2 linked regions of the Saccharomyces cerevisiae S288C genome follow. The protein of the gene in region 2 interacts with the protein of the main gene of each other region in a biochemical or structural test. Each region holds a gene or a part of one and is shown on either strand. Other genes may lie near its edges.

The links.
Region 1: the proteins of BIT2 (region 2) and SLM2 form a complex in vitro, tested with the Saccharomyces cerevisiae proteins (one study listed by BioGRID).

What each region holds. Positions count from the first base shown.
Region 1 is NC_001146.8:537,263-544,823, reverse strand, and holds SLM2 (phosphatidylinositol 4,5-bisphosphate-binding protein), read left to right. Parts: upstream 1-2,942; coding exon 2,943-4,913; downstream 4,914-7,561. Other genes in the region: LAP2 (bifunctional aminopeptidase/epoxide hydrolase), read right to left, coding at 1-1,861; YNL046W (uncharacterized protein), read right to left, coding at 2,002-2,520; alpha-1,2-mannosyltransferase ALG11, read right to left, coding at 5,005-6,651; COPII subunit SFB2, read left to right, coding at 6,913-7,561. UniProt on the Saccharomyces cerevisiae protein: Together with SLM1, effector of the TORC2- and calcineurin-signaling pathways. Phosphorylated and activated by TORC2 under favorable growth conditions. Mediates actin polarization via inhibition of calcineurin-dependent transcription.
Region 2 is NC_001134.8:741,668-749,149, forward strand, and holds BIT2 (Bit2p), read right to left. Parts: upstream 2,732-7,482; coding exon 1,094-2,731; downstream 1-1,093. Other genes in the region: SDH8 (Sdh8p), read right to left, coding at 493-909; EFM2 (S-adenosylmethionine-dependent methyltransferase), read left to right, coding at 3,185-4,444; HSM3 (Hsm3p), read right to left, coding at 4,694-6,136; UBX7 (Ubx7p), read right to left, coding at 6,394-7,482.

The sequences.
Region 1 (7,561 bases), on a different chromosome or scaffold from region 2:
AATCGGCCAAATGCTTATATTCTTCTTGCAGCTTGGCAAAGATCTGAAATTTGAACATCTTGAAAACAACTTCCGCGTTCTGTGATTTAACAATGTTATCTTGATAGATATCTAACAGTGCCCTAGATGCCACGGGAAACTTGGCCCAGTCAAAATCTTTTGGTTTCTTGTTGGAATGGCCATTTTGTGTCAAAGTTTCCAAGAACAAAACCAATTGATTTGAATTAAAATCCTTAATGTCAATAGCGTTAAATTCAGACCGGAAATCCTCTGTGGTTTTCAAATGTTGAGCCATTTCGACCCACTTGTCAGCCAATTGATAAACATTATCAGCCAAAGCCGTAATAAAATGAGGCCTTGGTGGCATACCTGGTTTATACAGCCAAGTTTCCCAGTCAACGGAATCCAAAATTTCTTTCTTTTCGGGATAGAACTCATACAAAGTATCCAAAAACTGGAAAGTATCCAATGATTTTTTGGCAAACTTCTTGAAATAGTGTCTAATAAATGGATCAAATTCAGCCTTACCACCCAAAATAGTTTCCAAGTGAAATAGTAAGTTGAACCCCTTTTCGTACGGAACAGTGGAAAAGGCATCGTCAGGGTCAGTGTTATCGTTCAAGTTTTGTACCAAAGTGGAAAATCTTTCAGGATCTTTCATAGAATCAATAGAATTCTGCAAATCGCTCCAACCAATCAGAGCACTGAAATGTCTAGTTGGTTCGCCATGAATGGCACCAATAATTCTTCTTTCTAAGTAAACGGTCCAACCTTCATTCAACCAAAAATGATTCCACGAACAATTGGTCACTAAGTTACCAGACCATGAGTGAGCAAGTTCATGGGCGATGACATCAATGTTGGATCTGTCATGTGCAATCAAGGTGGGCGTAGCAAAAGTCATATTCGGAGACTCCATACCGCCGTAAGGGTACGAATCGACGTTAACTAAGATATCATAAGTGCCCCACTCGTATTCAAAGATAATTTTCTCTGCAGTTTGAATGAATTTCTCTACATCGTTTTCAAATTCCCATTGACAATCTTTCAAACGAAATGGTTCAGTGTAAACTGTGGAACGAGGTCCAATTGGAGCGCTTGACAAATCACCGGAAGCAATACCGATCAGGTAGGCTGGGATAGGGACTTTCTGTTCAAATCTGTAAATATTAGTATCCTTGCTTGTATCTTCAATCCTGATGCCTGAAAAAACCACTGGTAGTGGGGACTCGATAGATGCAGTGAAAGTAGACTTCACAGAGGGAGTATCAAAGCAGGGGAACAAAGACCTCGCATGAATAGCTTCCAACTGTGAAAACACGTACGGTTTACCGCCCTTGGTTTGCTTGCTGTTCAACCATTGCAAAGCGGTGCACTTGTCAGTCGTACGAAATTGAATATTCAAGGTAAAGTTATCGTTGCAAGAAGCGTTATTGATGACTAACCTGGAGCCCAATGGCTCCTTTCTTTGCTCAATTTGAAAATCTGCCTTGGAACCATCAATATGAACCTCCTGGACATCCAAATAGGATGTATCCAGATGTAATTCATCCGATTTATTTTTACCTTCGTGCAGTTTTTTCAATTGGAATGTAACGCTCCCTGAAATGGCTGACTTTTCGAAGGAAACAGACAGGTTTAAATCGGTGTGAAGAACTGCGAAGTCCTTATAATTTGATAAAGTAGACTGATCGTATTCGGGGGAGCGGGAAGGTCTTCTCTGCTCAATTGAAAGAGGCAACATTTTATGAGGGGTGGAAATGTGTATGTTTCTTGAGATTACAGTAAGTAAACCTCGAAATCGAAGCGTGGGCAGGTAAATAGAGCTGGAATGACGAATGACAAATGGAAGCAAGAACATCAATTAGAACACCAAGATAACCTAATACATAAAGCAAACTATACTAAAGTGCGTTTATATAAGTCAAACGAAAAAGTGGAAGAAAAAAAGTGACATGATTTTCCATACGCAATGCCCCCGGAAACTGAAGACGCATTGTGTCAAAAGATGAATGAAAGCCACGACGAAACAGCCGAAAATGGTGACAGGAGAGGGCCAACGAGCCCCGTGAGAAGACCTGTGTAGGGCGTACCCATGAAGGAGGCCCCTATGATTTTCCATTTGGAAACACTCAGGATGTTTTCTGATGACTGGATGATGATGTCCTTGAGGACCAGGAGACAGCCAAAAAATACAATTGAGATCGCGAGCACAACAACCAAAGGCCTTGTGTTGATGTCATAGCGAACATACCTTTCATTGATATGATGCGTAGATGGCGTTACTGACGGTGAGCTGTTGTACATAGAGTTTTTGACTCTCACGCTTTGATTATCCCTAAAATCACCCGGAATTCTGTACTGGGATTCAACCGGCACTGCCTGCTTCTGTACCCTTCTTTTATGCAGCAGCTTCCGCAGTTGGTTAGTGGTTCCGCATTTCTGTGATTTGCTTCCATCTACAGTTGAAGTTTTCCTCTTAAAGAATTGCCCAATTGACCTCTTTGATACGTGCTCCATTAATATCTTGCGCCGAAATTGTCACACTATGCTCACGTATGATTAGTGTATTTATATATGAATAATTCAAATGGCAGGCAGTTTCTTGTTCGAGCCAGCATTGGCGAAAAAAATGCCAAAAGTAGAAGTAAATACGGTAGACACTCCAGCAAGATAAAGCTGCAATATATAACACATCACGGCGATGCTTGTATATTTAGGAGCTCTTACGTCCACCAATGCTAATATATCCTCCTAATGATGGCGCTGATACTGGTAAAAACTCATAATGGTAGTAGTCATTAGCCAATACCTGCCTCTTTTTTCCGGGTCATGCCGCATTCTTTAATCAAAAGGCGATGCAACCTACTACATGAGAAGATGACCGCGCAAGCAAAGGTTTAGGAGAGCGTTATACGCTTTACCCAGCCGTCCATTGCACCATGTCTTACCAACGGAACAGTGCAAGAGCCTCTCTTGACCTCAGAAGTCAATATCAACAACTGGAAGGCAGAATGAGGTCAGAACATTTTAATCCCGCCTATCAACAGCAGCAACAAAAAGGCCAGAACATACCCCTGTCACTACCCTCGTCGCTTGCGCAACGCAATCCTATACCTTACCCTATCGACGCTGTGACTTCCGATCCCACTATCCCGGCTCAGTTGAACGTATATGATCACGATCGGCAAAATTCGATAGTCGATGCTGCGGCTGGCACCAATACGACGCACTCTTTGAACTCTAATAATATTCCATCATCACAAAATAATAATATTAATAATAACAATATCAATAATGTTGGTTCCTTCACTGACCCTTCCATGCTAACGCTGCCAAAAATGTCTTTACATAGCCACCAGAAGCAGTATGATTCTAACCAAAACGATCCTAGGTCCCCTCTGGCGATACTGATACCGACTTCTGCGCAGCCCACTGATGTCTTGTCTGCTAGGTTTTCTGCCTGGAGAAATGTTATTCGTGCCATCTTGGTATATCTCTCTGAGACCGCCTCAATACAGGACGAAATAGTTAGACAGCAACTGAGGTTGTCCCATGCTGTGCAGTTCCCCTTTTTCAGCATTGAAAACCAATATCAACCGGTCTCTAATGAAGACAAGTCCATGCAGAAATTTTTTCTGCCCTTAGGAAGTGGATCCGTTCAAGATTTGCCCACGATGCTGACCAAGTATCATGATAATCTGGCCTCTTTGGCATCGAAAAGTTCCAAGGAGTTGACCAGTGAAATTATACCCAGGCTAGAGGATTTGAGAAGAGATTTACTAGTCAAGATTAAAGAAATTAAGGCTTTGCAATCTGATTTTAAAAATTCCTGTAACAAAGAGCTTCAGCAAACTAAACACTTGATGAAGCTTTTTAATGAATCATTAAAAGAATGTAAATTAGGTACACCAAAGAGTGACCCATTTTTGATAAAATTGCAATTGGAAAAGCAAATCAAAAGACAGTTGGTGGAAGAAAATTATTTGCACGAGGCATTCGATAACTTGCAGAATTCAGGGGCCCAGTTAGAAAGTGTTATTGTAATGGAAATACAGAACGGATTGACCAGCTACGCTAGAATTCTTGGCAAAGAAGCCCAAGTTGTATTTGACTCAGTTATCTCTAAATTAGATTCCACGATACTGAACAAAAACACGAATCTTGAATGGGATAGTTTCATTCTAAGGAATATTTCCAATTTTGTGCCTCCAAATTTACCCATGAGGAGGTTTAAAGAGATCTCGTATAGCAATCAAAACGATCCTTTTACTTTTGAAGTTAAATCTGGGTTTCTGGAGAAAAGATCAAAATTTTTAAAGTCATACTCACGTGGGTTTTATGTCCTCACTCCAAGCTTTTTACATGAATTTAAGACACCAGATAAGCATAAATTTTCCACACCGTTAATGTCAATACCATTAGTGGAATGTACTGTCACTGAGCATTCCAAAAAGACGAAATCCAACTCAGAGCAGGGCAAGAACAAGTTTATATTGCGTACGAATTCTAACGGACTAATACATAGGGGTCACAACTGGGTATTCAAAGTAGACTCTTATGACGATATGATAGAATGGTTTGGAAATATCAAAGCCTTATCAAGTTTGCCCAACTATGACGACAAATGCAAATATGTGAGTAAAGTTGCCAAACTGTCTAAAGAAAAAGCCAAGAGTAATGAAAACACCACGGAGAGCGTGACCCCCCAGGTAACTAATGAGCAACATACGAGATACGATGATGTGAGTAGTAGCAATTTTCCCTTGAATTCCATTCCAAAATTAGACAATTTGACAATCACTAACACCACGTCATCGATACCGGAAACGAATGATTCACAAATTCAGAATAGGGTTCCTGAATTTTACATTGAAAATGTAGATTCCCCTAGAAAAAGCAATCAGCTGTGACAAGTAAGTTAATTATATAGTAATGCTCTAGTTTGTATGTAATATTATGTATAAGTTTTCTCATAAACAAGGCTTCTATTTTCAAAAAACATCAGCCCCTTTCCTCCTCTTCTAATAATTTACAAATAGGATTCAGTACAAAGTTTTCCCAATCTTTATCAAACTTCAAATCAGAGAATTTATACAATGAATACTGCTGGTTTCTTGCGCCCATCACCCTTAGGCAGTCATAGTCCAGTTTCGTAATTTGTAAGAAAAGGTCGGACAAATTAGGGTATCTCAGAGGATCTTTGGTTGTGTTATAATCAGGATCACTCGGCTCTTTAAAGAAAAATCCAGTAGTTTCACCATCATCTTCGAGTTTTGCAAAATATTTCTTTTGTAACTCCCATTGTGGTGGAGCTTTTCCGATATTCCCGTTGGCATCCCATGGAGTAACTATATCTAACAATGGGCCCGCCGAGGCATGAACTATGGGGATCAAACCGGAAGCCATATACTCTACAACTGCAATTCCAAAGTGCTCATTCCACATGGCATTAACACCGAAAGTAGATTTGTTTAGTAATATTTCAATCTTATCGAAGGGCAGATTTTTTTCGAATGATATCAAATGTTTAGGAATTTTTAATACATTTTCTGACCAGTCTTGTAAACTTTTAACATAATTTTCATCTTGCTTGGATCTAGTGGACCCCGCCATTATCAATTTAATTGGCGATACAGAATCCGGTAAATTTTTCAAGAAAGTTGCAAAGGACTCAATGATTAACTTATGACGTTTCTCAGGACGAAATTGTGCCAACACAATTGCTTGATTTAATCTCTCACCCTTTGCAGTACCAAACTTTTGCTTCCAATCTACTAATTTCTCAGTAGAGCATGGAGGATATATAATTTTACACGTATTGGATTGCCAAATTTGCTTTATGTGGTTATTTGTCCATGTTGAGTTTGTGATTACAATATCAATTTTAGAACCAATGGATTGATAAATTAACATAAAAACTTTCCAGTATAATATTTTACCGTAAACTTTGATACCCTTCTTGGGCATTTTGAACAGCTTATTTAACATGTCTTTTGACATTATCGGATAATGCGTATATGTGACGATAGGAATTCTCCTCAAAAACCTAGCAATAATAGGATAGCTGAAAGGGTACCCCATTGTATCAATCCATATATCAGGTGGACACTGAATAATGGATTCAAATGCGAGAATCATTGATCCAATTGCTTGTCCAATCAACGTGAAATGCTTCCATGTTGAAGAATCCACCAAGTATCTTAGCTTCAATGAAATGAAAAATATTCTATCCGAATCCAAGTCGTAATCGAACTTCGCTTTCACATTATTTAGAATATTCTCCGGAGTAACATTCTCTCCATTCACAAAATCCCCTGAATAAATGACAATAACGTTCTTAGCATCTTTTCTCAAAGTGATATCTACAGCTTTCCAGAGCACTTTTTCCCCACCACCACCAGCATTACAATACGGATGAAAAAAACCAAAAACTTTCACATTCTTCTCACCACAGGAGGCAACTGCTCTGTTCAGTAATGAAGATTTTTTGGAGAACGGATTCAAGCTGGAATACACCCATTGACGGAAGATCCACGTGAGAACCTTAATTAGTCCATACACTAGTACTAAAGATGATACAACATATTTTTTGAACCCAAAATGAGACTTAACCTCTTCAAAATTGTAGTTTGTCCAAGCACTGCCCATTTTCGCCTGCAATCACCTGAACATGTTGGTCACACTTGGATACTAACATCTATCTTCACTTCACTTACCTCTCAATCTTATTATTTATTGAACTTTTCACTTTTTGTTTAGCTTACCCGAAGGACATAGATGTAGCGATGACAACGATGAATGATACGTCAGTTAAAAGGGTCTTCGTCGAACTCTTCATCTAACCCTTCATTTGCAGTGTGCTTGGTTGATGAACCTTCTTCCATTAATGATCGACAGCTGCAGTGAATAATGTCTCATCATAAGAAGAGGGTGTACCCTCAAGCTCAGGTGCCATACATTGCAAGTATGCCAATAGTTGCAGAGCAACAGCAGTCTCAACAACAAATCGACCAAACAGCTTATGCAATGGGCAACCTACAATTGAACAATAGGGCTAACTCATTTACACAGCTAGCTCAAAATCAACAGTTTCCTGGTTCTGGGAAAGTGGTCAATCAACTATACCCTGTGGATTTGTTTACAGAATTACCTCCGCCAATCCGTGACCTGTCTTTACCACCTCTTCCAATCACCATTTCTCAGGATAACATTGTGACTCCATCCGAATATTCAAATGTTCCATACCAGTACGTCAGATCTACTTTGAAAGCGGTGCCAAAAACAAACTCTCTGCTGAAGAAAACGAAGTTACCATTTGCCATTGTTATTAGACCATATTTGCATTTGCAAGATTCAGACAACCAAGTACCGCTAAATACTGACGGAGTCATTGTCCGCTGTCGCCGTTGTCGTTCATATATGAACCCTTTTGTCGTTTTCATTAACCAAGGGAGAAAATGGCAATGTAATATATGCCGTTTCAAAAATGATGTCCCATTTGGGTTTGATCAGAACTTACAAGGCGCTCCAATCAACAGATATGAAAGAAACGAAATTA
Region 2 (7,482 bases):
ACGTGGTTAAATAGTATGTTTTTAGCATAATGCCTTATTTTGTACCAACAAAAACATGATAGTTCCCACATATCTTTTCGCCTGGGGAATACCAAGTGGGACAAACAAAACGTTAAAAATTAAATCCTTTAGAGTACCACAAATTCGCAAGAAACAAGATAGTTGAATTGTCAATCATGGCTAAGATAAGTATGAATGTGCCCAGTGTAAAGATCAAAAACATGCCAAAGGTAAGGTTAAAAAGCACTAGAAAGACTGTCTCCACGAAAAACATGCGAAATAGGTTCAATTCATACTCGAAAAGAATTCGAAGGACGCTCACAAGAAAGAGATTTTAGGCAAACATGAAACGTATGCATTTCATAACACACACATATATATATTATATATTCAAAATAAAGCATAACAACATACATATTGAAAAGTAAATTGAACGTTACGCAGTTTCATCAAATAAGAATAGTATTATTAAAAATTGGCCGGACCAAATATCTAGAAATCCGTTACTCTTCCGTTAAACGAATAATCGCCGTGTCTCAACGGGTCCTGCTTGGGACCCCCAACTTCACCAGTCTTGGGGTTAACATCACCTTCGAATTCAGGTATGGTCTTGGAAAATTCAGGCGAGAATGACCCAATATCGTTTTTGGTTAAAAGCGGTGAATTCAAACTCTCCTTTGTACGATCGCCGGTGGCCTGCGCATTATACTGATCTATTGCCTCTTGCGATGTGGCAATCCTCTGAAGTCTTTCGAACTCTTCCTGCTCTTCTCTTGGCAGCTTGGGAGGGCCGGGGATCCTTTCAGTAGTTATTTTTCGGGTGGCCATATTAAATGGTCGTCCACGTAGTAGATTTAAGGCTCCCGTGCGAGGATACCGATAACCTGTGCTTTTGATGGCGCACAACATTAGTTCTTCTTTTTATTATTTGGTTCTTTCTGACTCTTTAGCAAGTTAATATGATCTGCACTTTCCCCATTGGCCCCTTTATAGGGCGGAAAAGAGCATCTGTTTTTCCGGATTCTTGGAACAAGAAAAAGGAAATACACCTATCTATATGCCACTATTGTATATTACTAAATAAAATATTTAATTATATACTCATGCGTATGCCCTCAAGAAGTTCACCAATAATTCTTTGGTTTCTGCTGTTACCTTTTATGGTATTCAGGATCCCAAAACACTGCAGCAGCGTCAGTTTATCTTCCTCTGTGACGCCGTTCTGTTCTTCCTCGCTGAAAATATATCTTTGAAAACTCTTACTGGCACCGTCATTTGTATGTAGGAAGCTTTCGTAATACGGAAGAATGATGGAGTCTCTAAAACACTTTAATAAAAGGACATCAATTGACGGTGCGTACCTTGAAGGTTCAGATAGATATCCGTCAAGCCAGTAGTTACTATTTTTTTGGAAGCTTTTCTCGAAGGGCAGTAACACTGCCATCATGTCGTAGTAAACCTGTTGGTAAAACACCTTCCAGATTATGCCGACTCTTTTCAAAGCCGTATTTACGGTATCCTCATTGGCATAATTGAACACAATCTGGTTCTCTAAAATGTAAAGTGAAGTGGTAATGAATTCCTCGATTTCGGCCAAAAACCTTGAGTGCGTTACGGCAGCCTTGGTTTGTGTTTTCAAAGTGATATAAAATTCCAGCAGCCGGTCAATATCTTCTATTTTTGCTGGCAATTGCCATACCCTCTTGTTTTTAAATAGCTCCACAACTATGCTGCAGTATATACCCCAGATATTCCCCTCCAGAACAAATAACTCCTGTACGGTGAAGCTTTTATAGTTTGCTATCAAGGATGGCAAGTTTTTCAGTAAATCATGTAGTAAAGAAACATTAGTCGCGTCGAAAGCATCATCTTGGATCAGCGATAGAGCTGTATCATTAGGGTTGTTGTTAATGCTAGGGTTAAAGGAATATACAGATTTTCCAGAGTCAATAAGGCCTCCAGTAGAAGTATGGATAAACTGTACGGGTGACCTATGTTTACCATATGAAGAATGCAGAAATTTACTGAATGGGCTGGGAACTACGGGTTCAACGTCGTCTTTACCAATGGAATTATGCGGCTTGTAGGGTAAAAGCTTTTTTGCCATTTTGCTAAAGACATTACTGCCTTTGTTTGAATGAGAATGTCCTGTAGACAGTGAAGATTGTAAACTGTTCACACTCATATTAGATTTCGTATGAAACAATTTAGAGCCACTCCTACTTATGTTGTTACTACTTGTGCCGGTAATAACAGTGCCGTAGTTTTTTGACCCGCTCCTGCTTCGATTTCTCATATTATCTTTTGAATTGGTGAAGATGGACAGTCGCCTTTTATTGCCCCTTGAGTTGGAAGAAAATAAACTATCATTAGACGTGGTGTTCCCCTCCATTCGGTTACTACTTGATGAACCTATTTCGGAGTGACCATCGTTATTCTCCGTGCCTTGGCTGTACTCCTCTTCAATCGAATCCGTCGAGCGCCTTGCATTGGAACCATCATGGAATATAGATTGAAACCCCACCTGTGACCATCTAGGAGCGGCATCATGAGGAGATTTGGATGTTTTTAGATGCACATCTTCGTCGGGATGTGTCAGCGCTTGCGGTACTATATCAGAAGAAACACTATAAACTCTAGCTGGTTTGCGATTAGTTGCTTTTATGTTCGGGTTCGTGACGCTCAGTGAGCCTGAGGTAGCACTTCTTTTACGATTTAGGTCTGTTGCCATTGCTTGACTCTGTAGTTTAAGACTCGCCTAGCCACTTATGCTTATTGTGGTTTGTATTTTTTATTTACTGTCTTCTATCTTTCTCCCTTTAATTTTGACCTTATTTTAAAGCCCGCAAAGATCGCTGAAAAATTGCTAGTAAAGGTCGCATGCAAAATGGATAAAGTGCTCTTGTCAAATTATTTCAACACCTTCATTCGCAGTATAGTGGTATATTGGATTGGGTAAAGGAAAACAGGCGACACCAATATTGGTTTAAGCTAGTAGCGTATGCAGCTCTATCCAGGCATTAAAATTGGTTCACCTATTTCTGATAGTAGTTTTTTTTTTTCCAATCGTAAATTTTTTCTTCAATTTCGCGATGAGCTACAAAATAATAGTAGTGCAATCTGTATATTACTTTTCAAGTATCTAACTCATGCAAGTTAGGAGTTCCATAGCGGATATTTCACTATGTTTGATCCTCTCGATTTGTACACCCCTGATGACATCCAGGTTGAGGCTTTACAGTTCAATCTAGCAGAGAGAGAGCCAAAAGATCCTTGCTCACCGCAACGTGACGAAATATTAACGGCTGTAGATGAAGAAGAGAGTGACGACGATGACACCATTATCGATAATCTGGATCTGCCCTCCGTGAAGTATGCTCCGCCAGAAGTTATCCTTTGTATACTAATACTTCTGAAGCCCGATAGACAAGTAAACTTCAATCAGGAGACAGGGAAGAACAAATCTGTACTGGAGGTTTGCAAGAGTCATGGGCTGGAACCCGATCTGCTGAAAAGACTTTTGACTTGGTATACAGAAGAATGGCCTAACAAGAGGTTAAACTCGTTGGAAAAGATATGCAATAAAATCCCAATGCTGAGATTTACAGTATCCAAAGAACTACTGTTGGGCTACTATACTAGTGTATTGAAAAAATACAATAATAGTTGCGGATTGAATGAGGAAATCATACAAGAACTTCTTAAGGAATTGAGCTCAAGGATATCCGAAAACTGTGGGAGAACGGCCCAACCATCCATAGTAAGATATTTTGAATTAAGAAATCTAAGCACTTCCATACCGCTTCATGAACCCTCTTTAACGGCCGATAATCTTGGTTGGAAAACATGGGGATCATCTTTAATACTTTCACAATTAGTCGTAGATCACCTGGATTACCTACATACCACTAATGTGAACATGTTAGCGAACAGCGACATCAAACAGATTAAAGTATTAGAATTAGGAGCGGGCACTGGTTTAGTAGGACTTTCATGGGCCTTAAAATGGAAAGAACTTTATGGAACTGAAAATATAGAAATCTTCGTGACGGATTTACCCGAGATTGTGACGAATTTGAAGAAAAATGTGTCATTAAATAATTTAGGAGATTTCGTTCAAGCAGAGATATTAGATTGGACTAATCCTCACGATTTTATAGATAAATTTGGACATGAAAATGAATTTGACGTCATATTGATCGCCGACCCGATATATTCGCCTCAGCATCCGGAATGGGTAGTTAACATGATATCGAAGTTTTTGGCGGCATCAGGGACCTGTCACCTAGAAATACCTTTAAGGGCAAAATACGCCAAAGAACGAGAGGTTTTGAAATTATTACTAAAAGAGAGTGATTTAAAAGTAGTTGAAGAACGGCATTCAGAGGGTGTGGATGATTGGGGTGCCGTTAAGTATTTATATAGGCAAATCGTTCGCAATTAGTGGGAAAGAAACGAACGCGCTTAGGCGAATAGTTTTTCTTTATAATAAAAATCATGCATGCTACATAGACATTGAAATGTGAATTATAAGTACTTGCCAGACCTTACATACTGATTTATACAATTTATGGAGAAGAAAACTGAATGGGCCACCTCGCCAAAAGGTTAGTTTTTGATTCAGACAGGAATCAATACTGGTAGTACATTAAACAATCAAGGCCGCCTTTATAGTTGCGCTTATGCAACATAATCATCTGCAATCTGCAATCTTAGTTTCACTGCCTGTGGAATAATTTTTTCCGTTAACTGCTTTGGAGTATTCTCGCAATAAAGGTTCATACCATACACTTAACTTTTCTTCACCTTTGTCCAGTAAATTTCTCAAGGCAGAATTCCTATAATGCACAGTCTCAAGATCTATAATAGCACCTGCGCTCCCATCACCTATCAAGCTGCCCATCACCTTTGGCATCTCATTGAGCAGAAATTTTGAAGTGTATTCGTATCTCGTCAAGGTTTCTACTACTTGCATTTGTTCTAAGTACGGTAGTCTTAAGACAATCTCAGCACTAAACTTGTTTCTTATAGCATTGAAACATTCTTCATCTGCTGAAAGATTTCTCAACATTCCAATGCTGTAGCCACTGACGTGAAAATAGTTTTCGACCACATCTTTATGATATTTTACCAAGTACTGCGGATTAATTAATTCCAACCACTCGGTTATTAATTTTGCTTCGGACCCAATTTTTAAAGAATCTTTGTCCATAGTCTTGAATAAAGAATATTCATCTTCCTCAATTCGTGACACCTCTGCGAATAACTGTAAAAGACAATTTGTAGAAAAGGCCCTGACATCAGGATAGTTCTCCGTGTCTTCAAAAAGTTGAGCAAATACTGGCAGTATTTTTTTTACATGTCTTAAAGCCCAGTATTTATCTTGATTTCGTATTTCCAGCAAAAACTTAGTATAATAATTAACCAATTCGATGAAAACGAGGATATCTTCAACGGATTTCAGTATCTCTTCTTTAGTAAAGCAAAATATGATATCCTTGAACTCAGGACCGCTGATGAATTGAAACTCAATAGTCAAGAAGTCAATTAATCTGACAAAAGAAACCGTTTCCATTCTACCCTTTACGCTCACCAGGTATGGCAAATTATTATCAAATAATCGACGCCTAATCAATTCATCTGTACTCAACCTTTCCAACGCTTTTTCGATTGCTGTAATGAGCTTATCATTCTCCACTTTCTCATCAAATAGAATATCCAATAGAATATCGATGATATTACTGGTCGCGAATAAACCCTTTGGCTGCGAATTCTCAATGACTCTACATGCTGCTACTTTTAATGGATCTATTTCTGACCTAAGGGCCTTCACTAAGTCCTCCGCGCTATAAACTTCTAGAACATCGTCAAAATCAGCCATGGGAACAAGCTTGTCCACAACGTCCAAAAGGTAATCGTAATTCAATGAATCATAGGATACGTTAGACGTCAGAAAACGCTTGATCGTAGCCAGTAGTGGTTTAACATCCATATCTGGAAGGGAGACAACAGTCACAAGATTCAAAGAACATTTCCTTAATAGTGTGTTGATATCTTCAGGCAAGTTATCTTCATTAAGTTCATTTTCTAATTGCGTAAGGAGATTTTCCACGTAATTTGTTTCTTTCTCACTCATTGCTCCTGTTTCGCTGAGTTCTTTTGCGGTGATTATAGTTGTAAACTTGTTTTATTTTTAATCCCGTAATTAAGGTGTTTATATAAACTTACTCTTCAATTTTTCTATATGCATTTGAAACAGAAAAAAAGATATAAAAATACCAGCTATAACAAAAATCCATGTAAATAAAATTACTGTATATTTTTTTATGTAATCTAATCAAAAAAAATTCACGTCTAATACTAGTCATAAATGGAGTTGAAGCCATTAACTACTTATTTTTTATCTTCGTCCTTTTTCTTTTCTAAATGGACATTATTACCATTAAAGGTTGTTGGGTCTTCAGGATCTTCTTGATGATCGTTGTTAACAAATTGGAAAACATTTGGCGAGACAGAACGTGACGTAGTAAGGTTGGTTTCCGATGGGTACCTGGTTCCGCTAGGTGTCAGCATTGGTGATGCATGAGCAGATGATTGAACTGGTTCCCGAACATTGTTGTATTGGAAACAGCTTGACGAAGCAGCTCCAGATAAAGGTGTTGAAGACCTCACTTCGTGACGATTCGGCTTCGATGTTTCCTCACGTTGTGATGTTACTTCAGGATCTTTATCGTTGTGCCACCACGTAGAGAATCCCTTATAAAGACGGCCCAAAAGGCTTGGTCCCTCCATCCCAGTCACAGATAGCCCCGAGTTTTGAGTTTCTAGTGGTTTAAGTAATAATGCAGACCTTGGAGTTAGTTCTAGTGTCTCTAGCGTCTTCAATTCATCAGAATCCTTAAATGTCACTCTGGGAATGCCCCTGTGGAATGAGTACGGGCAGTCTCCATCTGTCCTGTTGACGTCCACCCATTTTCTAACGTCATTTAATGTTTCAGACGAGTTGAACTCATGTTTTAGAGTCTTGCCATCAGTCATCCTGATTTGCAAGACGCATTTGCTGCTGTGCAGTTTTTGTGCGTCTTTTATGTAATCATGAACATCCAATGGCTTATCATCATCAAGGGTTCTGTGATGAGTTTCATCAAGAGCTTTTCTTTCTGCACGGTCTGCCCTAACAAGTCTTATAATTCTTTCTCTTTCCTCCTCAGCCAGCTTTCTTTGTTTCAGTTGTTCACGACGTTGGATCTCTAAGGTAGTCTCAGCAATCCGTTCTCTTGCATTTTTCCTATGGACGTCTCTGGATGACTTTTCTTCTCTAGCCAAACCTGGATTGGTTTCCCTGGACGAACTCTCACCAGCCTTTTTGTCTTTGATGCCTATGCACGCCAGCAACTTCTCCCAATGTCGGTCATCCTCGCCTTGAATAATCAATTCTATCTTTCCAGCACGTATCAAGTATATACTGGGTACAACTACATT